Lepisosteus oculatus: one gene and its partners. The protein of the gene in region 2 interacts with the protein of the main gene of each other region in a pairwise test. Links are inferred from orthologs where the notes say so. Each region holds a gene or a part of one and is shown on either strand. Other genes may lie near its edges.

Region 1 (9,972 bases), on a different chromosome or scaffold from region 2:
TAGAGTCACACAGTCCTCCTTTATCTTTTCTCTGGCAAGATGTTAATGTGTATCACTGCCTTTGCCACATGCACTACATCAAATACTTATGACGCACAACAACCTGCAGGATTCCACAAAAATGTGTCAACAGGTCATCTCTATTTTCTTTGAAATGAGTAGAATTTTCCCAAGGGGGATTTCTGTAGGAGTCCTTTGCAATCTAGGAATGTTAGAATGTCTGTAGGAATTTTAGAGTTAATGTACAGTATAGCAGTATTTGTTGTTGCTGCTGTTTTTATATGAGATGGTTTGTGAAATATTTGATTAATAATAATTCCTTGTATTTATACAGAGCTTTTTCAAAATATATACAAATAATATATATATATATATTATACATACTGTTATTAACTTACCAACAAAGATAATTCTGGGAGCATAGTGGCCATCAGGCGCCAGATTCTTGTCTATGGTTTCATGCTGTGGATCGTTATATTAAGTATTCAGTCTGAGATATATACTCTTAGATACAAAACTCTAAAAAAATATTCCAGACAAATGAATAGTTAAAAACAAAACATGACTAATTTCTTAATTACAAATCAATAAAATCTCTATTATTCAAAACAAATAAATTGTACTGGTAAAGCTTTCCAAAGTAGAGGGACAAATAAAATTGAACTGCAGATATTCACATTGAATGACTTCAGTGCCACCATAGTATGTAGGATGATACAGAAAATCTGATACTAAAAATCTGAAAGTCTTTCACCACTGTTAATGAAGACAATAATCATTCTTAACGGGATTAATTGATTAAAGTTACTGGCTAATAATTGTCTCCAACTTACCACCAGATTAAGCATTACAAAGTCTTCTTGGGCCATTTTCTGCAGCTCAGTGTCAGCAGCAAACACCTTTTTAAGAGCTTAGACATACAAAGGGATAGATATATATAAATACATAGAGAATAATAAAAAATGGAAGACATGATGACTATGACATCATTTAAATCTTCTTATGCAAATAATATTTTTTTCATGAGGAAAGATCCAATGAAGAACTTTTAATTTAATCTAGTATTTTTAAGAATACACATATATACCTTGACTGTGCGGGCAGTCTTCTAGGTGGTGGATAACCATCAAGGGCTTCTGACTGAAAAAATAAAGATTTCAACAATGATCTCTATACAAGAAGTATATTGAAACTTCCATCCATTGTCTTAACCATTTTATCCAATACAGAGACACAGAGGCGCCGAAGCCTATCCAAGCAAACAACAGGTGCAAGGCAGGAATACACATTGGACAGGATACCAGTGAGGAAAAACATACAGACTCAAACACACTCACCAGGACCAATTTTCACAGAAACCAATTAACCCGTGTAGTGTGGTTTTGAAGTGTTGGAGGGAACCACAGCACCCAGAGGAAACCCATGCAATCACAAGATGAACATACAATCTCCACACAGATAGCACCCCAAGAATTGAACCCAAGGCCCCAGCACTGTGAGGCACCAATGCTGACCACTGCACCACCCTACTGCCCAAATTTTAAACTGATCATTTCTCATGTACGTCTTGCCTGCTTATAATTGTATCAGTGAAGTATGAATTTCCAACAAAGGGTTTTTAATATGAGGATAGGTAACACATGCAATGCAGCCCTGAAGATATACAAATTGCAAAGCTTTAATGCGTATTGTTTTGACACACCTACTGGGAAGGTATAACCTTAAGAGTTTGCTAGGACTGGTTATTTAAATGTGAATGAGCATTAGCTTTGGAAATCTATCCATAAAGTGTAGAGGATAATAAACCTTACCTTGTTCTAGATTTTGCTAAAGCTTCCTCATAGGTTTGGGTCCAGGTAATGTCATCTCCCCATCCTAAAATATCACACAGAAATTGATCATTATTATTAATAATGGGAATAGGAATATATCAGTTACAAATAGTTTTGTTATAAAGGTTCTGTAGACAAAACTAGAAAAATGAAGGTGTGTGTGGCTCAAGTATGGCCCCAGGTCTAATGAGGCTTTCCTGGGGTAAACACTAATATCCAGAGTACACACTGGATACAATTACCTTATTAATTAGTTTATTTGGCATTTGAAATCTTTATCCAAAGCAAACTCACCTTTGCAAACTCACATTTAAAGAGCAATCTGAGTGAAGGACCTTGTTACAAGGTATTACAGCAGCACCCTAACCATGATTTGAGATCCACAACCTTCCAGTTATGTGACCAGGGCTCTAACCAAAATCCATGCTGTAGTCATGACAATAATTGCAATTCCTAAACTGTAACCAGGCCTTCCGAGAGCTCAGATGAGGCCTGGGCCATTTCACATTGTGAGGCCCCCTCGTTGTTTGGGAAGAGGGGTAAAGAATGGCATGATGGGAAGATTAAGGTGGGCATTTTGAAACTCCTAAAGAATGGTATATTCAGCACTGAAAGGGGGGCATTTTGTCACAGCCATGGACTTTAGTCGGGAATCACAGCATATGGTAAAAGTTCCAAATTTGACTCAAGTCAAGAAACACAGCCAAAGGGTTCAAGTGGAGGACCATGCACCCTTGGCTGAGGTGAGGCCCCCCTGTGAGGCGAGGCCTGGGCCAAATGGCCCTGCTGGCTCCCCCTCTCGTAGGGCCTGACTGTAACCCACAAATTAGTAGAATAAGGCAAGCAAGCACATGATATTGTGACAAATATATTTTTAATTTGCAGTTATTTCCAGTTTTGGCCCTCAAGTAACAGTGTAGGGAAACAGACACAACTAACATGTATCTGTTAGCTGTGTCATGTCTGGAGCAACACCACAGTTCTATTCTTTGAAATTCTGTAGAGGCAAAGAGGTACATTACAAAATCACAGAATTAATTCAGAGAAGATAAAGAAACCAGGGAAAACTACCTGAAAAGGCCCAGGAATTATACCATTACCAGTAAAGAAATGGTTATTATTAATACTATTGATAGCAAAGGAGTGGAAGACTGTAGTCAGAGGGCCAAAGAAAGATTCAAGCTTTTGTTTTGCCTTTGCTTGGTCAGAAAACACAGTGCCTGTCTGTAAACAAAAAATAAAAGAGCAGTATGGTTTTTTCTCTCCTTGTCTGACTACTTTTGTGTACTTAGACCCCACCCATTTGAATGCACGGAGTTTCGATTTTGCCTGGGATTCCAAACCCTAATTATTCACACTATCCAAGATTTGTATTTCACAATGTTAGAAGAGCTGTACTTACCCCTGGAAAGGGTCTGAGGGACCTTTTTTGCTTTTCTTTGAGCAGATACATCCAGACTTGCTACAACAAGCAGGATACAAAGAACAGAGGAGCGACTCATAGTTCTGAAAAAGACAGATCTACTATTAATACATGTACTATTTCTTTTTCAACATTTTAAAATTTCACAATTAGCAGCATTTAATGGTCTCTGTTTATGGCACAGTCGAAACAATTTCGTGATGTACATGTACAGTAGATGCATTCTAGTTTTTTTCTAGATGTCTTCTGAAATAATTCTGTTTGGATTTTGAATCAAGATTTCAATTATTAACACACCCATTTTACTTTGAAATGATACTTTAGATTTTAGTGCTATATATACTTGTACTTAAAACTACTGTATAAAAATGAGTTTGATTTCAAATACAAAACTTTCCACTTTAAATAATATAGATTATAATCCTGCCTTTCATACAGTATTTTAACCTTTGTTGTGTACCATTACATTTTAAAGATGCTCCCGAGTTTGTCTTATAACACTTGAACCAGATATCAATGAATCATCAAATTGCCTAAGCCCTTGAAACCCTTTTGAAGCATATATTTCAGAATTTTAAAGACATCAGAAATATCAGTCCCATGTAATACTGCTTGCACTTCCACAATCTTGTCTTTTAGCATTCCTGTTTCAGGACTAACCTGTTCTAGGAGGAGATTCAACACAATTGTTTTAAGAGAGAATCTCTTCCTACTGTATTTCTAGCACAAAGTGTGAGCGTTTTACAAATGTAATACTTTAGTTTTCGTTTTGTTATAATTGATCTCATATAATAGAATGACACAACAGTATTTGAGAAAAGTAAAAAATGTCCTTAAGTTGCATGTTTCCCCTTTACATCAGATCTGTCCACCCTCTAATGTTTTCCATCTATTTGTTTCTGTTTTGGTTTCCAATAGGGTTGGTTTATATTTTTCTATACTGACGTTTTGACAGCTACTGTATAGCAAATATAGAATTACTTTCCTGGGGGAATGTCACAGCAAAATTCTGAATTAGTGATGGTTTCTTTATCTCATGTGGACTAGCTTGATTTAGAACACTTGTCTCCAGTTTGTGGGGATTACAAAGAGCTGTTATTTATTAAGTTTAACTCTTCTTCAATTTAATAATTCCCTTCTTTACTCAATTATTATTATTAATCACTTATTTATTTATTTTTTTGCTATATCTAATGCTGACAATTAGTCAAATATATTTGTAAAACCAATTCTATGATAATCCTGGTTGACTAGAGATGAGTAATACTGCTTTTAAGTATTCTACAAGAATATTTACCAAGCAGATAAATCTGTTTCAAAGATTGAACTTTTTCAATCACCTAGATACAGTACGAAAGAGCCAAGTTTCGTTCTTACCTGTTGCTGTCTTGAAATGTGAGTGAATGTTCGTTGAATTCTTACCTCACAAGCCTTCTTTTTATAGTCATCTAACTCATCTAACAGGTGTAGCAAAGCTTGAACGTCAGGCATAACAAACCAGGATATCCTTATCTTTGAAACACACTATTCAAACACGCCTCAGGGTAGGGAAGTACTTACAGTACATAAATGCTTATACTGCACCTTTAAACCCAATTTTAATCCCATTGATTTTAATCATAGGTGGAGAAAGGCTTCTTCATAATATATTTTTACTGTTCTGTATTTTTTTAACAGAAATGATTCAATCTTTTAATCTAAATTAAATTTTTTAAGTACCACTCATTTTAAACCTACCTGTGGTTGTAGGAAACCACAGGGAATGAATCTATGTTTTGAACCTAGTTTTGAACGCTGAAATTAAATTACATCTTTGGCATTCAGGTATTCAGGAAAATTAATGAGAAAGATCTAACTATCAATGTATTTAGTGACTTACTTTTTTATTAAAAACAATAATTTATTCAATGTTTTTTTCTCATTATTCATCTACATTTAAGAAGCAAAATATGATGACACAAACAAGATACTAGAAATTTTCATGAACCACAATAACAATACTTCTGAATTTTATGCTTGAAGACCTGTATTAAAGTACATCTTGGTACAGCACCAAAGTACAAGATGAGACTCACTCTGTAGTATATGTTTTACTTTTTTTATGGAATTATTGTCCTTTTGTAGCTAAGATTTTTTAAAAATCAATACCTGGTTTTAAGGTATGTTATTGATTAACTTTTTATTAAATCATTTCACTTTTATTCAATTTTGGCATGAAAGAGAGAGAAAAAGCAATCAACGTGCTTCTGTTTATTAACTGATTCCACTATTTCTATTTCTCACTTTTTTTTATTCCTGACGTCCTTGTGTTAACAAGCTAGTGATCTTTTGGCATTCGTTTTTTTGTAATTTATTATTTTAAAAACAAAAATATCATTATATACAGTACTTCATAACCCAGCATTTTTTCCATATTCCCATCCTGTTATGTGATTGAAAGCACGCCTAGACAAAACACAGTGCTACTTAGTGGTACACAGTTTCAGAAACCATAAATCTTTTTCAGAAAAAGCATTAAACAAAAAAGAAAGAAAATGTACAGCAAATAGAACAAAAAGTACACATTTCACGAAGAAAACGGTGTGTTTCATAATCCCCTGAATGCAACAAGACCTTAATTGCTTAGTATACCCTAACCACTCAGAGATGTGCACATCAGCTATAGCAAGCTCCCCAACTGTAAGCACGCTTTTCATCTGTTCCCTTGGGTGTGTCCAACCAAGTCATCTTGACGCACACCTGATAAAGACCTATTCAACTATATTCACCTACTGTATGTTCTTTTATTGAAACAATTTACTAAGTAGTATTATAAACTATATGCTATGAATGAACATTTTTATCACTGTGTCTTTCACAGGGTTTAACTATTTTCTAATCAATTTAAACTTAATAATAACAACATGTGCTTAAATTGGCATAGACCTTTTCCTTCCAAGAAATCCCGAGTGCTTTTCACAGAGAAGGGGCCCACTTCATCCATCACTGACCTGCACCACCCACCTGGGTGACACTTTGCTGCCCCTATGCGCAAACAGCCCCTGTACATAAAAGTGTTAATTTTTATGCAGCCATCTCACTTCACAGTTATTATGAATTAGGCACTTTATTTAATGAAAAATGATGTTTTCCGAGATCCACAATACTTTATAAAGCGTTCATTCTAGATTTTACTTCTGATATTACAGTAGGTGTTAAGTATTCTTTATTCATATGAAAATGAATTTAAAAATTATATGGGATCAGTAAAAGCAATAATCTAGTTATGAAGATTTCTAACTTCCTGGATCCCCGTACAGAAGAACAAACAAGCTTCCACACTTAATCATCTTAAAAGTGAAAGATAAACTAAATGGTTCACCAGACATTCCTGTTTCAGGGTATATCCTTGTTACTACCTTAAGAAACTCTTATGTTTAAAGTTAGGAGTGGCTGCAGGATCTCTGCATTAAAGCACATTAATGGTGATGTGCTGCTTACTTTCAAAGTAGTTTACATAAATTGCTTGAGGGGTTATTGAAGATTTTGTGTAGAGAAATTGGAGTAATGTTTCCATTGATGGAATCTAGAGAACATGAAGAAGTTTAATCTGTAAAGATTGCTCTTGTAAAAAGCACAGTTTTGTTAGAGTTAAATGGGGAGAGATAAATATCCAATGTGTAATTATGAACTGTTAAGTTATGTTTTTTTAAATGTTGGTTAACAAAGCAAATGAGAAAAAAAACCAAGGTGATTCTAATTCTATATAATTGTGGTTATAGTTGCAGTATATTTTTCTATAAAAGCTTTTTTTAGCTACTAATACTAAGGTTTTCACAAAAGAAAGAATACAGAACAAAATATTAGAACTTGAAATACATATTCTATACTGGACAATTAATGCGTCAATCATTTTTATACATTATATATGGGACTTTTTAGATTATAGATTTTAACTTGATATTGTTTAAGCTTTCTTCTATATAAATTTCCTTTACAAACATGCAAACTCATTAATTAGATGGGGGTAATTGATTGATTGATTGATTAGTTTTTAAAATGTTTTGAAAGAAAAATGCAAACAAGTTTCAAGTTTTAAAAATGGTTTCCTTATTTTCCATCTCATTCTTCACAGACACCTTTAGGTTACAGTTTATCTATACTTCCTAATTTTAGATAAAGGTACAAAAAACTATGGCTTTGTGTTAGTGCTAGAGCAATTATTTTACTTTAGAATTATTTACTTCAAACTTGGTTTTATTTCCTTTTCTGTTATTAATCTCCTACAGTACATTTTATATAAGGATTTTTGCTACATGAATAACAAAAACTCTTATCCCATATGGTAAAAATTCAAATGATGTCTATAACTCAGATTAAGGGGTGTTGATTTTTTTTCCTCATCAGGAATTCTTGATAACTTATTTGGCACAAGAACATATAAAGATCAAGTTCAAACTCATACAGGGATTTTGTCAGTGCTAACAGCTTTAGTTGTTCATTAACTTTCCATTACTGTAAATTCAGTGAAACGTTCTAGTAATAATTGAATTAAAACAGTGTTAAAACATTGATCAATAGCAATAACTTAAAAATAAGAATGAAATAAACCATGAACATTTAATTAATTTTTCAGCTATAAATGCCCTGCAGATATTTTGGTTTTTAGAAAAGGACCTCAAACGATCCAATTCTAAGAGCCTTTGGAATTCTTTGCATTTCAGTTGTTACTTGTTGCTAAGGATGCAAGCCTCGCTTGACAACCATACGTCACTTGCGCAGGCGCAGCTAGGTTTAGCGATGCATTGTGGGATCGGAAGATACCGACGTACTGAAAGCCCAGTGATTGCAGAATTTATGTGGTGAAGTGTTTCTTTCGGTTCGTCTTCACCTAAAGGACTTTTGTTTTGGCGTTTGTCTTGCTTTGCTGCTGCTATGAACGCGTCAGTGACCAAGAAGACCCAAGATACCTTGGGAAAAGTGATTAAGAAGCCGCCTCTTACTGAAAAACTGCTTAGTAAACCGCCGTTCCGCTACCTGCATGATATATTCACCGAGGTGAGAAACAGAACTGCAATGACTGACAACGGGAAAAATTGGATTTGTTGAAATATCCGTGGCTTGTTTGCAAGGAGGAGTTTCTCTGGTCTGTGTGTGTTTGTTTCGGAGTAGTGCATTTCAGTGGGACTAAGTTTGGGGTGAGGCTGTTCAGGAATAAAGAGTAGTAAAGGCTCAGCTGCAGAAAATTTAAAAAATGCAGTTAAGTTCTCTGATGTAACCTAAATAACTGTATTTTTTTAAAAAACGGACAATAGTCGGTTTCAGTGTAAATGCTGTAAAGGGTATGCGGTGAACACCTGAACTGTCTGAATGATGTAGAATCGAACTGGCGTCTTCTGGTTGCTAGGCACTGGTCTCTGCTCAAGTACACTAAACAATGCGAGGCCTTGATGAGTTATTTAAATACAGGACCGTAAAATACAAATATACCTCATCATTTTCTGCCCGGTGTTTGATTCCGTCACGCTACCCTTTATTTAAAAAAAAAGTTTTCTGTTCCATAGCAGTTGGTTTTAATCCCGTAATGTGTCCCCACAGAGGACACATTACATTAATCGCTGTCCTGCTGTGTCATGAAAATGGTAGCTAAATAATTTGTGCTGTTTTATTGTGCCAGTGTCGCTAATTAATATTACTGAGGTGTTAGCAAAACGATTATTTTACTTTGTGTCGCTCAAATCCAGTATATAATTATTACTGATAATTCAAACAATTTGGTCTAGCAAAGCATTATTTTATTAGGAGCAACATCTGTACAGAGATTAATGCTTTTACCCTTTACATCTTTCAAGAAATGGCTAGATAAATCCTTGAATGAATTAATTCTTTAATTAGCAAATGGGTTAGATGAACCAGAAGGACTTATATCGTTTGTAACTTTTCTTATGTCTAGCTGTTTCTTAAAAGCGCTCAATATTTTAACCTTAACCTGAAAAGGTTGTTCCACAAGCCAACAACATTTGTGTTAAGAAGTGTTTCTTGTTTTCCATTCTCAATGAATTCCCTGTGTCCTTATTTTAATACTGAGAAAGAATTTCCTGGCTTAACCCTTGACATTTTATATACAGCATTTTATAATTGCATCTTCTCTCAATCTCTGCTCCCTACATTATTGTATAATAAAGCCCTGATTGTAGGAATTATTCTTAGAAAGACTTTAAAAACTAAATGCAATTGTAAAGTGAGGTCCTTGTAGTGCATTTAAAAAAAATAAGTAGATATTTTCTTAAATTCTGCACTTTTTAATATAAAACCAAGGATTCAATTTGCTTTTTTATTGTTTTATCAACTTTGTTTTATTAAGTCATTGCTTAGAAGTGTCTACATTAAAAACCCCTTCATGTGTAGCTCCCGACAGTTCACCTGTATGATATACAGTATGTAGTATACGATCCTATTACTGTAGCAGTGTGAATAACTGCACTTATTTTAAATTTGATTTGCTGTGTATCTGTTTACCCCATGATTTTGTCTCTTCGTATTTCTTTTGCTACTGTGTCTATATTTGCTGCTCTCTCTGTTTTTGTATCATTGTTCATCAAGTTTATGGTCGTGATAATATTAAGTCTGCTTTGGTAGTACGTCATGGTAAAACTGTGCTACTGTTGTATTACCATGGCTAATTCTAAAATGTTCACAGGTTAATACGCGACTTGTGGTGTCTTCATATTTATGAAT
Region 2 (10,448 bases):
TTCAAATCCCACAGCCGGCAGAGGAATGAATCCTACTTCATTGGGCCCCTGAGCAAGGCCCTTAACCCCAACTGCTTCAGGGGCGCTGTACAATGGCCGACTCTGCACTCTGACCTCAAAGCTTCTCTCCCTGTCTGTGTGTCTCATGGAGAGCAAGCTGGGGTATGCAAAAAGACGAATTCCTAATGCAAAAAATTGTATATGGCCAATAAAGTGATTTTAATCTTAATCTGACATCGCTCACAGGCGGGGCTTTGGGGCGAAATCAGAAAGCGGGACCGAATGGGTTAAGGAAAATCGGTAAATGTCAGCGGAGCTCACAAACAGCAAAGCCACCCCAGAACATACCCACAGGGCTGTTTCCACTGTGAATGAGGAACACCGTAAACACAAGTCACAAGACCGACATCTAATTTCTTCACAGGTTCAATTTCTTTATAAGAAAACACAACTGAAGCTTTAGAAGACTAAAGGGAAAGTGCACACACCTTGAATGAACCTCAACCACACCAGGGATGCTCAGGGCAAGGCCCCTGCGAGGCCAACAGCCTGCTTCAGGAAAGGATGTTGAAACAAACGCTGAATCTCCTTCACACTGTAACGCCAGATCACACTTCCCTATAAAAGAGAAGTGCTTCGTGCACAAACGCTCGCCTATACCCGTCTTTTTTTCGTAAAAACATTTGCATGGGTGTTGTTTATCTTTTCTCATTCCTTTTTGCATACTGCCGTCGGACACGTGCGATCCAGCGCACCACACGTTTCCTTCCAGCTCGCGTCACTGGGGAGGCTGAAACGGCGGGCCGAGACACGGGACGTACCTGTAGTACACAGCCAGGTGTCCCTCTTCGATCTTGTGGATAGAGGAGTGCAGCAGGACAGCCAGCACGCCCGTCACAGCAGCGACTACAGCCCCGACATGTGCCATCGCCATCCCCGCTCCCGCCACGATCTGGGCAGGGACACAGAGCAGACGCGTTGCACTGCAAAGCCTTTCACAAATCTCCCTCTCTCTCTCTCTCTCTCTCGACTGTGCCTTGTGACAAACGTAGAAGGCAGTGTTGCCCGTGTGAAATACTGAAGACGTCGTGTGGGGAAATGTGAACAAGAGAGCATGAGCTGGCAAGCACCAACTTCAATGTGCATTTTTTCAAAATGAAATAGGGGAGGTTAACATATTGAGTTAAGTTAGGGGTAAACCTGGCTGTTTCCAGGTTTAATAATGTTGTGACATAAAGGGGTTCCCAAAGACACCAAAGTGAATTCCATCATATCCTTAACTGAAACTAACAACCTACTCCCCCTAATCTCTACAGCTTGAGTAAGAAATTAATTCCTGCTTGTCTTCACATCTTAAACAACACATTTAAGACAGGAGATTACAGTAAAGCAGAACTCTGTGGATGGAATAATACATGTCCTGAAGCCATTTTAATGTGCTCAATTTGAAGACGTAAAACTGATTGCACTTTAAATACTGGGAAGGTTGAGGACCAACACATACCCTAAAGAGCTGACAGTGTGATCAAGAGTGATAAAAACACTCTTGCCAAGTATTTACGTATAAAGACCGCATAAACCAGGCTTAAGCTAGACTGTTTAAGCATGCTTAATTAAAACACTGATAAAATGAGAGAGGAATTCAGTAATACTACACTTGGGCCAGGTCTCTATAAGTCCTTAAGAGTGATTTTCTTTTTACACAGCTCATAGAAGGTACCACCTACCTTAACCAAGATGTTCAAGAGTCATAGCGGCAGCCTTGGGTACAATAACTGCTCAGAAGTAGAACATGTATATACAGTACTGTGACACATTTCATTTCAGAACAAGGGAAAAACAGGTTTCACACTGAGGTGCAGGAAGGTAACAAGTTCTCTGGGAATGACGCATACTGAAAGAGGTTTACAGGAATGCTCCAGACCACTACAGGCCCGAAGAGGTTTAAACCAGTGCTGAACAGATCATGTTCCATGGCGGGCAGGTCGGTTCCAGTGTGAGACAGCTGATCCCTTCCACCCAGCCCACAGCTGTGACACATTCCACAGCAAGAAGCAGGTGTCCCCAGAGCAGGCTAGGCTGTACTGTGGGCTCAGCTGCAGTCACGCCCCCTGATAACTGACAAGCCCACGAAACCAAGATCCACATGTACTGCAAATGATGTCTTATACCAACACCGAGAATGCACAACCTAGTGAGTTCACACAGTGCATCACAAACACCCACTGAATCTCCAGGTTGAGCAGTATGTTACTGCATCTATACAGGCATAAGAAACAAGACAGGTTTCAGATCTGTAAAGTGCATCAAAAGCATAGGGTGGCTGAACTTCAGCTTTTCAGACTGACTCAAATACCACCTTTGGAACTCAACACTAAATGAAATGTGTGAAAATGAAATGAAATGTGAAAAGAGAATATTGCACAGGTACTCGGAACAAATATTCGAAATCCTCAAAGTCCCAGCGGAATTCTCCAGACTTATCAGTGAAAACCTATCCATGCCTTTAAAGTTGAATTCCTTTTTTTATTTAAATTCTATTAGAAATTTAAAGAATCAAAAGGCAAGGCATACAATGGAAATATGTAAAAAGTATAATTTTAAGTTTTTACAATTGTGAATTCTTCTGGCTTTGAAGTGTTTATTTCTGTATCTATTTCATTATGGTGTTTAAATAAGAACTTGTTTTTTTTTTAAAAAACGTATCAGTGAAAAGCGAACCACTGGATTCAAGTAGAAACTATGGGGAAGTGCAATATAACTGAGAACAGAAGCGCTTTTTCACACAGAAGCCTGGTGTGGGAGTATGGCTTCTCTCAAGAAACAGACGAAACTCTCCATTCTGTCCGGGAAACATCTCACATTCTTTTAGCAAACACAAACTGGGCCTCTTCAGATTTGCCGTCCTTGAACTAAACCTTTGTTTTGGTTGCTCTTTCCAAGTATAACAACCTTGCTTAAGCCCATCCAGTGGATTACCCTGCCTTCCTCGTCTCCCGTGAGCAAACACCGTGCTCTTGCGCCTCAAATCCACAAGGAGCACACATGAACTCAGTTTAGCCTAGATGTGTTCCTAATGTTCTTGTCTGCTCCTTTTTTTTTAAATATAAAGGCACTTTCAGATGTATATTTAAACTTTCAGTTTATAGTTTGAGGTAATGCTCAAAAGCAACTTCAGGCGCTCTAACGATTTACTGTCAGTGTAAAACGTGATCTTTAGTCGGAGGGAATGACGTTAAACTGGAAATCGTGTCCAACATGATTTTTTTTGCTTGCCGTATAGTACATGTTCGTTTTCGTGAAGGGCTACCTAAATCGATACCTCCTGCACAATTCCAGTTGTATGGAGACAAATATACACATTCAGAAACGGAGAAAAAACACGAGTTACAACATGACCGGATCTTTCCCACAAGCCACAGTGGCTTATCGCCCCAGGATCTTGCTACTGTCTGCAGTAACAAGACCGCCACTCCGGACTCGGGACTAGCGGCCACAAGCACGAACGCCGCCCCTCTGCCCGTGTCCGTTCCTCGATTAAACCCGCAACACGTTATTTCAGCGAAGTTTTTCGATGCAATCGAGCTCTCCAACTCCCGAGCCCACGAACCAGTGCGGATTCAGCCAGTTGCACGGCGTGTAGCAAACAGGGAGGAAAAAAAAAAACTCCATGACGGATTACCATAATGAGTAATGGATTGCACACGTTAAATTAATTTAAAAAAAATCCCAATGCACTCTGCTCACCAAGCTTTCAAACAGTCTCTTCTGACAAGTCGGTTATGAGCGAAATCCTCCCTGTCCATCCCCCCCGCAGGACTCACTGCAGCAATGGACTCGACTCGCAGCTCCAGCGCCGCTTCTCTTCCGGGTGAAGAGTGCACCGCCCGTTAAAGGGGAGGGGAGAGGCCGGCCTGCCTGCCTGCCTTTGCAAGTATGCCGACGGATTTTGCGCTTAACCAGGTCTTACCGATTTTCGGTGACTCAACAGCTGTCAAATGGTACGGGTGATTGATTGCTCGACGGTTGGCATTTCGTGACCTAATCGCACTCCGAACCGAACACCCGTTTTTGAAACGGGATGAGGGCAAAACATCTGCGGGTTAGCGCCCGGGAAAAATAAAAGTCCCCCCCCCAGGAGTGTTTCTGGAAGACAATGCCTTTAAATCGGAAGATATTAGTTCATCGAGAAAAGGTGAAGGTACAACGCCAAGAGCAGCGAGATAAGCGCAGAGCGGTATTTGTCTTGGCACGGATTTAAAAAAAAAAAGTTCACACAGGGACGTATTTCACCGAACTACATGTGCAGGAGGGGCTGGTTCTGAATGTGTAGGTTTCCGGAAAATGATTTACTAAAGGTAACAGAAAAGATGTCACAGCAAAACAGAAATGACTTCTGTGAAGATGCAAGAACGGGCAGGCAACCCATCTGCCTTGCGCGTTTGTGTTCGCCCGGAGGCAGGTTCCCCGGGAATGTGTGTGTGGAAGGGTATCGGCAAACCAGCCGGTGTCTGTGCCCAGGGACTGTAGAACTGGGGGTTGCATGTAAGCTGTGAGACAGCGGATCCAAATATGAATTTGGCGGAAGGCTTTTAGTAGGTATAAAACTTCACTTGACCGGAAGGGGAAAAAATGCAGTTCAACATCACAGCATGCAGTAGTAAATCTTTTCATAAAAGTAAATAATAATTCTGAGCACTAAAACCCAAATCAACACATTACAGGTGCAATTGTGGTATTACATATTTAATTAATCACAATAATATGCATTTTTACACATTTACAATCAAACTGGTGTACACACTTTCAAAACTGTACAATTCCATCATTTAACAATTCCCAAACAGTATAAAATTACATGTTACACATTATCAGGTGTGTAGCTCTTCAAAGCAAAGCAGCATAAATTCATCTAAAAGATGCATCTTATGGACTAATAACAAAAAAAACGTCCATTGCATTACAATAAGAAACTATTTTTACAACTGCAAATTTCCTTTCAAAGAGCAAACTCCACTTCCATGTCCTTTTCAGTAGCAAATATGTAGAAATATTAAAAGTAACTGAAGTTGCTTTGTAAATCTTGCAGCTTATGACTCCAAAACTTGAAGTCTGTGAAAATATGTACTTGGTCTTGACAGCTCTCCTGGAGTTGAACCGTTTTGAATTCTGGGTGGCACTGCTTCATTTATGGTTATAGTAAGGCTTCACAACTGCTGTTTGACAATGGAACAAACAGAAAACACTGTTCACAGGCATTTCAGCAAGCACAAGAGAGATCTGTGAGCTCACAATTACAGGACACATGTCAGAGGTAACATAACCCTGCAATGGTGGAGCTCCCCCAGTGGCAGGACCTGAAACAGTCTTGAAATGGCCCGGGCATTTAACAGGCAGACTGTTCTGAACTGTGAGGATTAAGGTAAGGTTTCAGATACCACAGTGAAATCTGACCATTGATTAAAACTACCAGTATTATCAATTTATCATCATGTCTGCTAGCTGTATCCTTGAGAAAGGCAATTCACTCAGATTGCTGCAGTAAAAGGCCCAGCAGTGTAAACAGGAATGAATATAAGTCACTTTTTAAAAATGTCAAATAAATTAATACAACTAATGATGATGTGTCTTATAAGAAAAAATGGCCTTTAAAAGTGGAAGAATAAAAGAAAAAATAATTATCTACAAATTCTTTCCCCTTGAATTTTACAGAACGGCACATTAAAGTCCGGTTTCTCATGAATGCTCATCTTCTAAATACTGCAAGTTAACATTTTCCCTTACCCAGTTTCAAACTGAAAATCTTACAAAATCAGTTTTCTGTCAAATTCTGTTTACGTAGTAGACGAATTCCTCAACACTAACACTGCAATAAGATTATATAAAGATTTGTCAGCTGTGCAGTTCTATACAGGTGTAAAGAAAAACCTTTACTTCTGTCTGAAGGACTGTTTTAAGACAGTTCTGACAGTCATTCCATAGAAGGACTATATGAAGCAAACTACTACTTAGAAATCAGACCAATAAATAAGTATTCAATTGCAATTTTAAAAGCTGTATGTGCACACAATTATATGCGACTACAAACGTCTACTTTAACATTCCCTGAAGAGAAAGTCATGTACTGCCTAAATCCACTTTTGACTTATAAAAGCAGTCAGAGATACAAACAAGCCTAGAAACAGATCTGAAAAAACTACTACAGACAGTAAAGAAATTATAGTTATATGTGGGGTAATAAAATACTCCAGTGACTATTCCACTGGTAAAGACACATCCTCCACTTAAGTTCACAGTGAACTTTTAAAGTGCATTTTCAGATCATGAAAAATTTCACTGTTTAATACGATACTACAGCATTATTCCTCCCCACCCCCACCAACACCAATTGAAGCGGCCCACAAAAATCAGATTCTGTTAATTCTGTAAATTTTGATAAGTGTCCTACTATTTTCTAAAAAGGAACCATGAGAAAATGCACAAGGTAGCAAGGAGAAAAGTTTTTTTTGCATTACGTGCTTATATTTATTCCGTCCTTCATAGTGGTTCGGTTCAGAAACGAAAATGCACAGAGTACACGATGTCAGATCACATCTTCAGCTTGGAAGAAGAATTTTCTGACACCTCTTTGTGCAAGCAGACTTCAGGCAAACGCTTGGGGAGATAAAGCCCATTACTGACGATGTACTGCGCACTGCTCTTTTCTGCTGCACCTCATCAGAACGCACGTTCAAGCGTCCACAAAGGAACATCATCTTGCTTCAAAACAACCGAGAGACTGGGAAGCTCATGCCTGAAATAAACTATGCTCTGATAACAAGGGGGAAGTGCTGGTAAACAGATTTCAAAACAAATACCATTAGTGTTAACAGATGAGGAAGTCAGAACATTTGTCTGAAAGCCACACTGCTGCAAAAGTTTACATTTTCGTCCTTTTCATGGACAGAGCTTCATATTTTGTCCAGCTCCAATCTTGATCCTAAAATAATAAAAAAAACAATTTAAGAAAAAGGAAATCTCCACTCCTTAGGTTTTAAATTAAGGTTAAAGAATTGTTACAGACAACCCTGGCACTCCAAAGTCCAACTGAAAATACTGTATTATAGCCTTCACCCACCAAAAAAGTTACACTTGTTTCTGTTACCATTTGAATACCCTGTTTTTCTAGGCACGACTTCTGCCCTGCAGCTCTGCAAAGAGCCAATGTGGAGAAAGAATGTGATGCACAGTAGGCTGAGCACTCTGTATTTGTAAGACATGTTCTAGAGCTTGTTTGTGCATCTAAAATCATTCACAGCTTCCTGCTGAAACAAAAACAAAGTCAATGTATACATCAAACAAAACAGGAACATAAGAAATACTAAGTACAGTAATCCCTCACTATATGAGCAACCACTATATGGGTTTTTGTTACAAAAGGTGTAGTAAATCCTACCTGTTTTTTTCAATTAACAAGATTCTTCTGTTCACTTACTTTTTTTAATTTTTAATTACATATTAACTTTTATAATAAATGCTTATGTGCTTTAAGTATTGTTAACGCCAGCAGCCATGTCACCCTGCAACTTAAAATTGGCAGCACACTGAAGCTCAGCAGGTGTGAGCCTGGTCAGTACCTGGATGGGAGACCTCCTGGGAAAAACTAAGGTTGCTGCTGGAAGAGGTGTCAGTGAGGCCAGCAGGGGGGGCTCACCCTGCGGTCCATGTGGGTCCTAATGCCCCTGTATAGTGACGGGGACACTATACTGTAAAATAAGCGCTGTCTTTCGGATGAGACATAAAACAGGTTCTGACTCTCTGTGGTCATTAAAAATCCCAGGGTGTTTCTCGAAAAGAGTAGGGGTGTAACCCCGGCGTCCTGGCCAAATGTCATATTCCCCCTAATAATCCCCCTCTATGAATTGGCTACAATACTTTGTTCTCCTCCCCCCCCCCACACTTCGAGGGCAGGCAGAGCGACGCGCCGGTTGGAGTATTCTTGGTCGCATTTAATGGCAACGTCAGCTCAAAGATTTGGTTCAAACCACCAAATTGAGATGGGCGTGCTGACAAGCAGACCCTGCTGATGCGGGATTAACGCTAGGATGAGAGAGTGTGCTTTAAGTATTGTTACAGCTTTGGGTGACCGAGAAATGTCTCTTAGATTTTAGATAAAGTTTGACACTGGGAAGAGTAAACACTTCTAGCTTCAAAGCAGAGAGGATGCTTGCTGAGGTCTGGGGGTCCCTTGAACAGAAACAATAGTACAGTTGATCTTAGTATGCCTAGGCCAGTTGTGGTTTAATGACTGCAAAGGAGCATGGCAGAAAGACACAGTATAAGAACACAATAAGATCACCAAGAGGGAGGAAGAAGGAAGAAACAAGTAGAGCAGGGAGAAGAGGGAGGAGTCTGGAAGATTTGGGACTTGAAGCTTGCACCAGGCGAGAGCCCCTTCTTCTTGATCATCCAAATCAAACCTGACTGGGTCTAAGTCAGTCTAAGTCACTTAGTCTTCAAACCTTGTTAGAGATTTTCATCAGTTTTCTAAACCCCCATCTGTAACAGTATATATTAAAGTACTGAATAGTACCTAATGCATCTGCTACTAACTGTAAAGATGTAACTACTGTACTATATATATGTACTATACATAAATAATGTAAGTGTTATTATTTTTCTACCCATTTTATTTATGCACTGGTCAATGACTTAAGCATGTTACATGAATAACTAACCAAAAATATTAGTTTTCATAGTATGGTACTGTCCTGTGCAGTACTAGGGTGAAATTTGGACATCTGAGTGAACATTTTGGGGTTCCGAAACCAATCACAGATTATAACACTTCCATTATAGGAGTTTTCACTCTACAAGACATTTTCGAGGAACAAATAAAGCTTGTATAAAGAGGTATTCCTGTACTTTTTTTTTTTTTACTGTTGGTGTTGGAAGATTATGCTACAGGACCTTTTAAGGATAACATTGCCAAAACAAGGAAGTAGAACCTGTAAGATCATACAAGTCATATTTCACACTTCATTTATTTCATTCTTAGTCACCTTCCCAGTTCATTATGAGAAGAAAGTAAAAGCAAAGTTCAGATAATAATAGTACCTTATGTTTTGAAAATAATCCCAGCCTGAACGTGCTCAGACATGGTCTTTTCCTTGTATGTGAACATACTTGTGGACCAAATCAATGTATTGGAAATTCTTGTCCTACTACAAATGGACCAGTTCTCCCTGCCACCTGGACTCACCATTATACTTTTCACTTGCTCCTCAGTGGTTTCCTGCATCAGGCTCGTCAGCTGGCTAAGATACATCTGATTCTCTTCTAGTAAGCGAGGCACTGAGTCACTGTTGGAGACAGAAGACAGGATATTATCTGTGACTGTGTATTCACAAGGCACAGAAGATCTGGGGTTCGCTGCAAAATATGCGAACAAAACGGAATAAGCATTTTCTTTCCTCAACTTATAAATCTACAGCATGTTTCTCTCTTTTCCAAGTTCTGCACCTGTCATTTGGTCCATGTAAGGATGTGAGTGGATTTGGTGAACTGATGGGCTGCCCATGCTGTGTCCATGCTGAGACCCGTGGCGAGCTGGACGCCTCCAGACTTGGATTTATAAGGGTTCGCGATGAATTCTGAGCCTGAGAACACACCAGCAATAAACAACAAAGAGCAACATTTACATATTCTCCCACATCTGTTCTTCTGCCTTTTAATTACTGTATGTTTGATACAATTTCTCCTATTAGTTTACATGCACACATTATATGGTATCAATAAAATATCACAGATTATTTATTCACACTAAATTATAATAAATTCAAAATGTTTTATTCATTCTTAAAATGCAACTCGAATCTTTACAACTCAGTACTATACATAACAATTAGACAAGAAGAACAAGGTGCCTCCTTCAAAACAAAATGGAATCAGAACTTTTATCATTTTTATTATTCCTTTCATCAGCATCAGCTAAAACAAGCACATCAGCCTCCAAGACACTGCAGACCTTACCAGAAGTTGCTCCCACCTAGTGGGAGTTCAAGAAGGGTTAAAAGAGGTGACTTACACAAGCAATCTTCAGCAAATGCCAGAATTCTCTCTGTCTCTTCATCTGCATCTGCATCACCATGTTGTCAGCTTCCTTAATGTTCTCAAGGGCTTTCTCAATCTTTGGGAACAAATCGATTATCTTCTGCTTGCTAGATAAGATCTTGCTGCAAAGGAGAAAATTTACGAAGCATGTGTTTAACATGGAGAGAACCAAACTGCTTCTTCTTCTCATTTGACAATTTTCAGGCAATCTTTCTGAGATGTTAACATCAAAACATCCACTTAGTTGTTTGTGTAAATCTGGTGTTTAAAAACCTACAGAGCAGTATCTTAACACAACTCAAGCACCTTAATCAGAAATGTATGCTTTTTCTACAGCAATAAAAGCAAGTTAAACT
Region 3 (10,207 bases), on a different chromosome or scaffold from region 2:
ACTGAACTTTCACATTTTTCCACCTTTAAACGTGAGTGATATTACCTATTGATAGAATTTCCCGTTTTGACTCTGCGCCAGCTGTCATGTTATTTTATTTAGAAGCACAGTTAAACATCACATTTTTGTTCCAAAAAGAAAAATTAGTGAAAAAAAAAACAGTGAGTGACAGCAGGCACACTCTCCAAGCAACGCCAACTGGTTACTCAGGTCGGCAGATGGGCGGGAACCAGATGGAACCAGTTGCCATGTGGGCAGACAGGTTCAGCCACGGTGGAGACAGGTCACAGCCCAGCCTCATGTCCACAGAGAGACTGATTTTCTATCCTTTAGCACAACCGGTTCTCCTTTTCTTGAGAAAAGGTCAACGGCCCCAGGCCTCCTTCTCCAAGGTTTCTACATCCCGTAGTTGTGGCCTCTACTCTCAGTCTTTTTTTTACTTATATTACAGCTCAGCCCTCAGTTACTTGACTGTGCTCATTTCTGCTTTAAAAGAGCTGCTTTTCCTTTCCAGCTCTTGAGGAGTTCTAGATCTCGAGTGATCTACAACATTTCACAAAACAAATAGAAGATATCCCCTGCTCAAGAGCTCAAAACCATTTAAAGGTTTTAAACGAATAACTGTAGTTGAAGGAGTTTTATTAAAAAGGGTTGGGGAAAGTGCAGTTTTGAAACAGTAGTAAAAATTTCCTTTTCCACTTAATTCACTGCCCAATACATTTTCAGCCAAATACACTCACTGCAGTATGAAATACTTAATTTTTTCAGAAAATGTGGGAAAACGATAAGTGAAGCGTGCTTCTTTCTCTTGTCTGTTGTGCAACACATTGGCCTAACACCTACTAACAGTCTAAATGTTTAACTGAATAGTGACAGGAAGAATGACCTGAAGGACAAACAGATAAAAAGACACTAAATTCCTCATAGGAATCTGCATTACAAGGGGACAATCAGCTAAGAGTTTCTGAAAAGACACAGGAGGAGTTCAGACAATTAAATTGATGCAGGCCCTACAAAAATCTACTGCTCTGATAGAGAAACTGGCTGTCCACTAACTAGGCCCTCAAAATTTACATACATCAGCTACTGCAGCTTCTGCAAATTGGGAAGGGGAAATTAGCTAAAAATGACTCAAAATATATTGCAGAAACAAAAATACATTTTAAGAAGTCAGCCATAAATGAAGTTGTGTTTAGCTGCACATGGTGACATTTGCACACTGATACTGCATTAATGTGTAAATTAATGGAAGGTAAATTTTGATAAAGCATTCTTTAATGAGTTTTAACCTAGGCTTGAATACACCAGCAGGGCAGGCTGGTGCTTTAAAGGCACAGTTATCTGAAGGTGACATTTGCGTATTTATGTCAGACACATTAAAAGGTTATCCAGACCAGCAGGAAAAGTTGCTGGGGCAGTGTTAAGAAGTGAAACAACGCCAGTCCAGTGAAATACTGTCTCACACACTGAGGAAACAGAGTCTACTGTGTTGAAAGTCCTCTAGGAGGTCACAAAATGATATTATATGAATGTGGTTTATGCTAGTTCCACCAGCAAAAATGTCAACAACAGTATACCAATAACTTAAATAATGTTTTCCAAAAATCGATACAAGGTCTGATTATTGATTTCCACAGACAGATGAAAAACCATGACATATACTGACCAGAATGGCCAAAATGTGCCAAACTCCAGGAAAGTGCACAGTCCAAAGGTTTATCTGATGACACTGGCCTGAGTACATGGCCTATTTACAAACAGCTACACCAAAATCACCCCTTACCAAGTAATCTTAATGATAGCCTCTGATGTTCAACATTACCATAGTTCATTTTGCAGATAGCCGTATGAAGGCAGGATATCTGCAAGAAGTAGTTTGTAGGAAATAAACACAAGACTGAGAATGATGGTAACCTGGCGGAGGATGGTTTTGGCAGAGGAGAGCACAGCGGATCACACTTCCGAGCAGCGATCTCTATCAATGTGGACTGGTCCAGGGAAAAGATCTCATCTTTCCACACCTCCCGTAACCACCCGTCAGTTTCTTTCTCTAGGGGGGTCACTCTTCCACTCAACTGAATCTAACACTTCAAAAAAGAAGAGCTCAAACAGTCAAAACAAACCCAAGACTGTTGTGATGCAGAACTAAATCTAGAGCAGAAGGAATCAGGGATGAGACTAGCCCAGTAGTCCCAATTTAACGTGACAAAAAAAAAAGAGAAAAAAGCCTTTTACACATTTGAAGAATTTAGCTCACATCTGTAAAAATAAACTGTGCTTACTTTGGTAAAGAAGCTACCGAAGATATTAATGCAGCTGTTATGAATGAAAGGACACAGCAAAAATTGGTCCAGTAATGTTTGACTAAGTTAAGGAGCAGGAGGACCAAATGAGGTTTCATGACATACCACTCTGTTAAGATGAGAATACTGTATGTTGAAAACATGGGGTTTTAGTTGGGGTGGTAACGTAGGCAATCTAAACAGTAATTCAGATATGGTCTTCAGAATGACGGAGTTAGTCATCCCCTACTCAGGATACAAAACGCATATCAAGTAAATTGGTTTGTCCATTGATAACAGGACCACTTTGTTCTAAAAATGCCACAGAAATACTGACCTCTCCCAAAACTAGGGTCAAACAAGGTTTGTGTAGGCAGGTCATTCATAGAAACAGTCACTAATGGTAACTGAACACAATGCCTAGAAATCAAAGCTGGGCTTATCTTCAGTCTGCTCAGCATAGCATGATTCAATATCAAACATTGCTAAAGAAATCTGAGCATTTCTCCATTTCAATTCCAGTGACGCACTGGATATTTAAATACATGTTATGTCCTCATCGGGGGCTGAGATTCACAGAGATACATGAAAACCTTGCATCACGTCTACATGAAGCTTTTAAAGAGTGCAGTTGTTAATTTTGTCCAATTTAGCCAATACGTCAATTTAGCTTCAGATCTGAGCTGGAATGAAACCCTGCAACCAAGAACCAAGACTAGACAACACTACTCATACTGTGCATTCCTACTACGTTTTTCGCAAGCACAACGCTACTACTGGATCGACAGTTAATGCTCACAGGCATGCAAGTACTCAGTGGAAGACAGCAGTAGAATGTAAAGGGGAGAGGAGTACTGGCACTGTTGACCTGTAAATGGATATTTAGATCACTCTATTTGGCTAAAGAAAATTGCTATGTTTCTCCCTTAGTAAAAGGTGCTAAGGGCTAACCACACTGTGACCATGTCCAGAGTTCTGCACACCTGGTCCTAGAGTCCTACAGGTTTCACTCAACCAGCATATCTAGAAAGCATGTTAAGTCTCCCTGCTTAAGCAACTGATTGATCCATGCCACATGAACCATTGTGCTATGATGGTCATCACCGCTGAGCATTTTGATAATTTTAACAGCATTCACATGCTTTAACTAGAGGCTGCTATCAGTCACTGTTCATTTGCTACATTTTTGGATTTAATAACGCAACACCGATAGAGCAATCCAAGCAGTTACAAACAGGCGCGATCTAAAGTATATACTGCAAATAAAAGGTACACGAAAACGATACGTTAGAACACATTCTGTAATGTCCAATAAAGGAGATAACACGGGCATGGGTTTCGTTTTTAAGTCAAGCGCTGTTGCCTTGAAGACCTCGCATATTGGTTAGAGCTTCCCAGACCCGCTGAGCTCAGATGCGTACTTCGCCCCGAAACTATTTCCTAGTTATTATCCTGTTTCGCGTACCTGCGATACGAGTTGCGCAGGTAGGACACGCCCAGACACACTGGCCCGTTCCCCTGCTAGCGACTCTCGGCAGCGGAGAAAGTAAACCACTTGTGCCGGACCATGGCCGAGCTGCCGGCGGCCGGGAAACTCACACCCAGTCCCTGGGAGCTCTCCCAGACCCCTGGCCATAAGGTGGTGTTGAAAACCGCCACTTTTTGTGCAGGGTTTGCTAACCACATCGCACCTGCAGGCGACAGAGAGGGGGGCTGGCTCTCCATGCTTTCCGTTTTGGCAGATGGGTTATTTGGCTGTAAGTTGCGGCGTGGGTGTGGGAACTAACGTGCCCGGTTTGCCTTTTTCATACAAAGTTCATCTGGACAGGAGGTTACTGGCACCGGCGTCAAAAAAAAAAATTAAAAGTCTGTCCAAATTCCGTTAAATTTGAGTTTCAAGGAGCCGCAGCGGTGTTTCGATATCGTCGGCTCTGACTTGACTGGCGCCGCAGCCTGGTCGCAAGACTTCCCGATTTGGTTAATTACGTTTTATTACGAAGTAATGGTAAATTAAATAAACGCCCTCTAGACCGAAAGAGCTGATGAAATTAACAGCTGGTGGCTTGCGTACCTGCGTGTCCCCAGGGTCTTTGCGCAGTTCCCCGATGTAATACTGCTCCATCCACCGCCTGGCGTTTTCTGAGTGCCGGTGAGGAGGTCCTTCCATCTGTCGGCTGACATCGGTCCCCGCTCGGCTTAAAATCAGAGCTTCCCCGCCAGGGTGCCTTCTGAGGAAACCAGTCACATCGTAGACCCTGTTGGCCAACAGCACCCAACAGGAGCTGGGGGAGCGGTGCTGGGACACCTCCGACTCCGAGAAATACCGAACCGGCGCAGGCGAGGACATGGGGCTCTGGGAAAGCTGAAAACTGACCGTCTGGGGTAAAAAAAGCGGAGCTCCGAGCAGACTGACCAGCTTCACTGACTCTGCGCTCCCTGCCGCGCTGCCCCAGACACCCACCTGCTCATTAACATGCTCATGAATATGCAGCGCACACCTGACTCCTGGCCCCAGCCCGACCTGGGCATGAATAATTCAGCAGACACCTGCTGCTGGCACGGCTCCGCCCGGCTTGCCGCCTACCTGGGCGACAAAATAACGAACAGAAATTTCAAAACGAAATCTCGCCTGTGACTACCAGAGACTTGAGGTTTCCAGACCCAATCTCGCCGTTTCCATTAAACAAAAAGCACACGTACACAGGAAGCGATGAACTTCCTGTGATTTTTTGCTACGTTGCTCTTCAGCTCTTAAGCTGTAGAACAGTGTTTCACGGCCCACTGACTATCTCTCACATGCGCCGAGCCCCCCAAATGCTGCTGCTGTCTGTGACTCGGTCGCTTTTCTGTGTTTTTTCTTTCCGTCAGTCCGGTGCAGCATGGTGCTCTGTGTGTGCCGCATGAGACTGGCTTAATTGGCACGAAGGACTGCTCTAAAAGCTGGACAAGCTGGCTATAAAAAGCGTTTATCAAGAAAGAAAGTGCACAGGGGATGTGACTGACTAGCGCATTATGAAAAACCAGTGATAGAACAGGGCGTGTAGTGTGTTAAAACCACCTGTAACACAACTATCAGACTCCAGCGCAGCTGCTGCCGGAGCTAGACGCGTTTCGTCTACCTAGAAATACTGTACAACCTTCGTGTTTAAGACATCGTGCGCGACACATGTTACGACAATGAGACGTGCAACCCCGTCAACCGCCTCTACTTCCTTTGAAACATTGACCGAGTATCTCCGAAGAGGAGCTCCGTGCACAGACAGGTGGAGCGGACGCTCAGGACCCGTCCCACTCATGGTAGTGACGCAGCTTTGAAAATCGGGGGGTTTGCGATGAGATCACGGTGTCAAAATGTTGCTCCGCGAGTTATTCGGAACCAAGGTGGAGAGGAGGTGAAAAGGCACACGGATGATGTAGAAATATGTCCTGGTCTTCCTCTGCATTAATTCTATTTCGAATAAAGTCCTAAACGGAAACATGAATGCATAGTTTATCGGACGTGTATCACGGACTGTGTTTTGGCATGATTTCAGTTCGCGGTTGTGAGGCGTGAAGAGGGAATAGCTGAGGGGATAGAGAGTTTGAGAAAGCCCATGGTTTGTATCCTGTGGCGAAATCAAGGCAACTGTTGCGAAAGCATCTGTAGAGTTTTTCATATTTCAGGTTTAGCGAAACTGGAAAGGGCGAGATGAGATCAAGCAGGTGAGCACAGCATTCACGTGTATCCGACTTGTGTAGAGCGGCCAGAAACAGCCAAGAATATCCCGACCTCGAAACTGACAGGTGACCGAAATTAGACAGCTCTTGTGACATCTGACGGCTTCAGGACTAATATGATATTTTCGTTGGGGCGGACGGGACAGGGGTAGAAAGATTTGTTTGCCTGTTTGCCCCCGCATTTCGTTGCACTGTCCTGTCTCATTCCCGTGCTTTGTTTATAAATTATTCATGGCTAAATTAATAACCGTGAATTTAGCATGAGAACTTTTAGCTTCATTAAATATTCATCGTCCGCCTGGAGCGAAGCCCTTTGTTGGTGAAACTGGAGTCGAGCGCTGCCTTTCGGTTGTTCAGAGCTGGGCTCTCCAACCCCGGACTGGACTACCTGGATCCTGGAGCCGGAGCGCTTTCCGGCAGGGCCTCTAGGATTAAAGCACTCTTAATTGAATACATGAGTCGCTTATTTCATGAATGCCTTACAGGTGTTGCCAATTGTTAGAAACTGGTAACATAGAAGACTAGAGCTGGGTTACAGCTCTCAAGTAGCAGGGTTGTAGACCCCTGTCTTGTTAATGGGATCAATCCATGTCTTAATCAGGAAGAATTTGCAGATGTTTGTTGATGTTTTAAAACCCATACATGGAAAAACCCTGTATCTGCAAGTTGTTTTACGTCTTATAGTGATCATCAGTACCTGAAGGGCTCATGGAAGTTATTAAATGGGCCCAATTAACCCAATAACAAGCAGATTTAGCCTGTTAAGAACTGACGTGAAATAAAAACCTGTAGAGGCTCACTGGGCCAGGACTGGACAGCCCTACTAGTATATTTTTATAAAGGGTAAAAGTCAAAGGGAAGTATAATAAAAGCTTTTGCCTTCAGACCCTAAAGAAAAGTTTGTTTCTGCCAGTCTTGTATATGACCATCCACCCACTGCCTTATCCAATACAGGGTCACAGGGGAGCTAGAGACTATCCCAGCAGGCAAAGGGCACAAAGCAGGATACACGCTGGACTGGACGCCACTCCGTCGAAGGCACACACAGACTCAAACACATACACATTCATGCCAGGGCTCAGTTTTCCAGAAACCAATTAACCTACCAGTACTTCGACTGTAGGAGGAAACTGGGGCACCCAGAGCAAACCCACAAAAATACAGGAAGAACATACAGTACAAACTCCACCAAGATAGCACCCCAGGGCCCCAGGGCTACAAGGCAGCCATGTTAACCACTACAGCACTGTGCTGCTTAGTGTCCTACTTAATTTTCCAAAATAAAAGAAGTCAACAGGCACCCATGACTCATGCCAGATCTGAAACCCTGTCTTAAAATATTGAACGTTGGTGTGCTATTTTGGTTTTTCAAATTTCTGTTACGCATATTATCATTCATGACCCTCAGTTACCTAAAAATACTTCCTGCATGTTAAAATTTCACTTCATTTGCATCAACAGGATTTTGAACACCCCCCAACCTCTTCTTTCATTTAAGTCTGTGGGAGAGGATTTCCTGAGTTCAGCTTTCCAAACATCAATAACCAGACTTCTCAGAAAACATTTTTGCTTTCAAAAACATTTTGCTTTCGTGAACATACTCTTCCTTGGAGTCTCTGAAGTGGTGTCATGGTGTTGTTTCTTGTCAAAAGTTTGTCAGTGTATTTGGTTTGGGAATTATTTAAAGGTCTTGCTATGAAACATTCAATTAAAGTAGACCTGGTTTAGTTTAATAGTCTGACTGCTTCACACGGTTACTTCTCCTTCATTTCAGATGTTTACGGTTTCTAACAGGCTCAACTGGAAAGTCCCATTAACCTAAACTGCTCATTCCTACACCAGTAATTTGATCACATGCCAGATCTTCTGATCTCAGCTTCCTTTCTGGCTCTGCCTACTGAAAGAGCAGGAGCCCACAGCGACATTCTTGCATCAGTTAATCCATTTCTTCTCTGTTCTTCGTGGATAATATAAATTCCTTTCATTTTTTATACTGCACCACCTTTCATCCCTAGAGATCACAAAGCAGTTCAAAAATATGCAGGGACTCACTTCAGCCACCAGGTGCAGAATTGGCCTGGATGACACGCAGCGGTTTCCCCAGCAGATGCTTGGCTTGGGTCACAGCTCGTTCATGCACACAGCCAGAGACACTTGCGCACGCGCAGGCCTTGCACATAGCTGTTCTGTGGAAGGGGGCCTGGCCTGCAAGCCGATCACAAGATGATCTGAGTGATTTCCTGGCCAAGAGGAAGCTCCTCTTTAAGGCATTTTTATTCATTGCGGCAAAAAGAGAATTGCAAACGAAAAGGAAACTTAAAAACAGAAATGCATGGAATATCCACTCCCCTAACAATCAATATCTCGCATAAGAAAAGCCAGCATCTCAGACGGGGAGCCTGTGTGAAAGAACATGGGAGGTTCTTTAATTTGTACAGAATGTGATCTCATGGGAAAAGCAATACAGAAACCACAATCGACACATCATCCATTTCAGCCAGTGAAACACATGAAGATGTGAAACCACAGGACAGAGGCTGAAAGCTCTTCAGGCTCTTACACAGAGCAGTGGTAATACTGAACAAGAGCTGTGGATGAAGTAAGTGTGTCCAGATGCATTCAATTCTCATGTTCAGATCAAGAAGAATCGGGACGTGTGATGCACTACAGCAGTGAAACCAGAAAAGGCAGTCATGCTGTGTGCAAAAAACTAACATGAATGAAATGACAAGCCACAAAATTAACCCCAGACCAAAAACCCTCAATCCTAACTGCGCAACTGTAGGAGCTTCCGAACCAAAAGACCAGGCTTCCTAAAGACAACAAAAACAAAATCTTGAGCGAAATATGTTGAGGTAGAAAAGAAAGCACGTTAGTGGGCTTATTTTAAACACCACTTTTTTTTTCTCTTGAAGGTACAAGTAAAATAAATAAATAGTAAGAAAATAAATAATACAAATTTGATTTAATTCAATATGAATTAATGTGTTCCAAGAAACCAATGTTCAATTAGATTAAATGATAAATATTTCACTCTTATTAAACCTGGCTGACTAGGAGCACTTAAAACTGCACATTTAACTCCAGTGTTAAATGTGATAGTACCTGTATAATTAGATTTAATATGTGTTATTGTACAACTGGATACCAGTTTCAGAAAAAACATTGAATTCCAATATTAGACCAGTTTCAACAACATGGCTGGGTAGTTTGTCCAGGACAGCTGCTACCCCATTAATAACAAAATGCTAAAATTCTTGGTCAGACCTCTTATTTTGACAAGCAGATGAGTATTAAATTAGAGTTATCTAATTTCTTAGACATCTGTGGTGCAATTGTACACAAACAACTGCAAGTCCTACCAATTTAACATTTGAAATCACAGAGTTTTCATTGCTTGTGTCTCTACGGGTTTGTCACAATGCTTTTTATTGGTTGTTTGCCGTTCTCCTTGTGTTCATAATATACAGTACCCTAAATTCACGTGCTAGCACTCTGTCAATTTCCTTATTCTGTGGTATCTCTCTTTGCTAGGCTGTGTGAATCAGAATATTTTTGCACCATAATAAATATTATTGTTGTAGACACAGTTTTAGCCATAACTGTAATCCTTGCAAGATCAGAATGAAAATCAATTGAAAGGGCGTGAAACACCACAGTGGACTGTTCTCATTCTTTCTGTTGTATTCTGGCTGTGTGCAGGTCTTTTATCGGGTCGGGTGGCATTTTCTGATTTGTTTGTCTTCCTGTGCTCATTGTATGGTGTTTAGTTTCGTTCGTGTAATCATCTAATAAGGATTAATGACACTGTACTGACTGCACAATTTGAAAGACATGAAATGAAACTGATATTATTTACCTGACGTGTTGCACAAGCGTTTCAGAATGACGATTAAAAAAAAAAAGTTTCTTTTAGGAAATGTAGCAGTGCCACCTTGTGGACATGTCGCATTCACTGTATTGAAGCTTCGTCTGGAGAAAGCATGTGGGTATTTCGCTTTAACTGCGAAATTATTTTTAAAAACTGTACACAGTTTTGTGACGCCCACGTCCTGAGTCGAGGATGACTCAGCTGATGCACTAAAGCAATCCTCACCTAAACATGTATTATGTCCAGGAGTCGTTTACCTCCTGGATCCTGCGGCTGATTTGAAATCCATGCCGTAAATCTCATCATGCCTGAAAGTTTCCTGAAAGAGCAACTGCAC

Evidence for each region.
Region 1: the proteins of erlin1 (region 2) and agr1 interact in binary tests that used the Homo sapiens proteins (3 or more experiments, as listed by UniProt). The two-hybrid records come from large-scale screens. The link is inferred for Lepisosteus oculatus from reciprocal best matches to the Homo sapiens genes ERLIN1 and AGR3.
Region 3: the proteins of erlin1 (region 2) and fa2h interact in binary tests that used the Homo sapiens proteins (3 or more experiments, as listed by UniProt). The two-hybrid records come from large-scale screens. The link is inferred for Lepisosteus oculatus from reciprocal best matches to the Homo sapiens genes ERLIN1 and FA2H.

Annotation. Positions count from the first base shown.
Region 1 is NC_090707.1:21,563,575-21,573,546, forward strand, and holds the start of agr1 (anterior gradient 1), read right to left. Parts: upstream 4,730-9,972; 5' UTR 4,633-4,729; intron 3,339-4,632; 5' UTR 3,335-3,338; coding exon 3,235-3,334; intron 1,876-3,234; coding exon 1,812-1,875; intron 1,141-1,811; coding exon 1,088-1,140; intron 911-1,087; coding exon 834-910; intron 463-833; coding exon 399-462; intron 1-398. Other genes in the region: traf3ip1 (TRAF3-interacting protein 1), read left to right, coding at 8,170-8,292. UniProt on the Homo sapiens protein: Required for calcium-mediated regulation of ciliary beat frequency and mucociliary clearance in the airway. Might be involved in the regulation of intracellular calcium in tracheal epithelial cells.
Region 2 is NC_090699.1:17,617,375-17,627,822, forward strand, and holds the start of erlin1 (erlin-1), read right to left. Parts: upstream 3,879-10,448; 5' UTR 3,748-3,878; intron 953-3,747; 5' UTR 935-952; coding exon 822-934; intron 1-821. Other genes in the region: chuk (inhibitor of nuclear factor kappa-B kinase subunit alpha), read right to left, coding at 6,920-6,979, 9,242-9,341, 9,502-9,638, 10,067-10,214. UniProt on the Homo sapiens protein: Component of the ERLIN1/ERLIN2 complex which mediates the endoplasmic reticulum-associated degradation (ERAD) of inositol 1,4,5-trisphosphate receptors (IP3Rs).
Region 3 is NC_090715.1:11,401,713-11,411,919, forward strand, and holds the start of fa2h (fatty acid 2-hydroxylase), read right to left. Parts: upstream 4,730-10,207; 5' UTR 4,630-4,729; coding exon 4,354-4,629; intron 1-4,353. UniProt on the Homo sapiens protein: Catalyzes the hydroxylation of free fatty acids at the C-2 position to produce 2-hydroxy fatty acids, which are building blocks of sphingolipids and glycosphingolipids common in neural tissue and epidermis.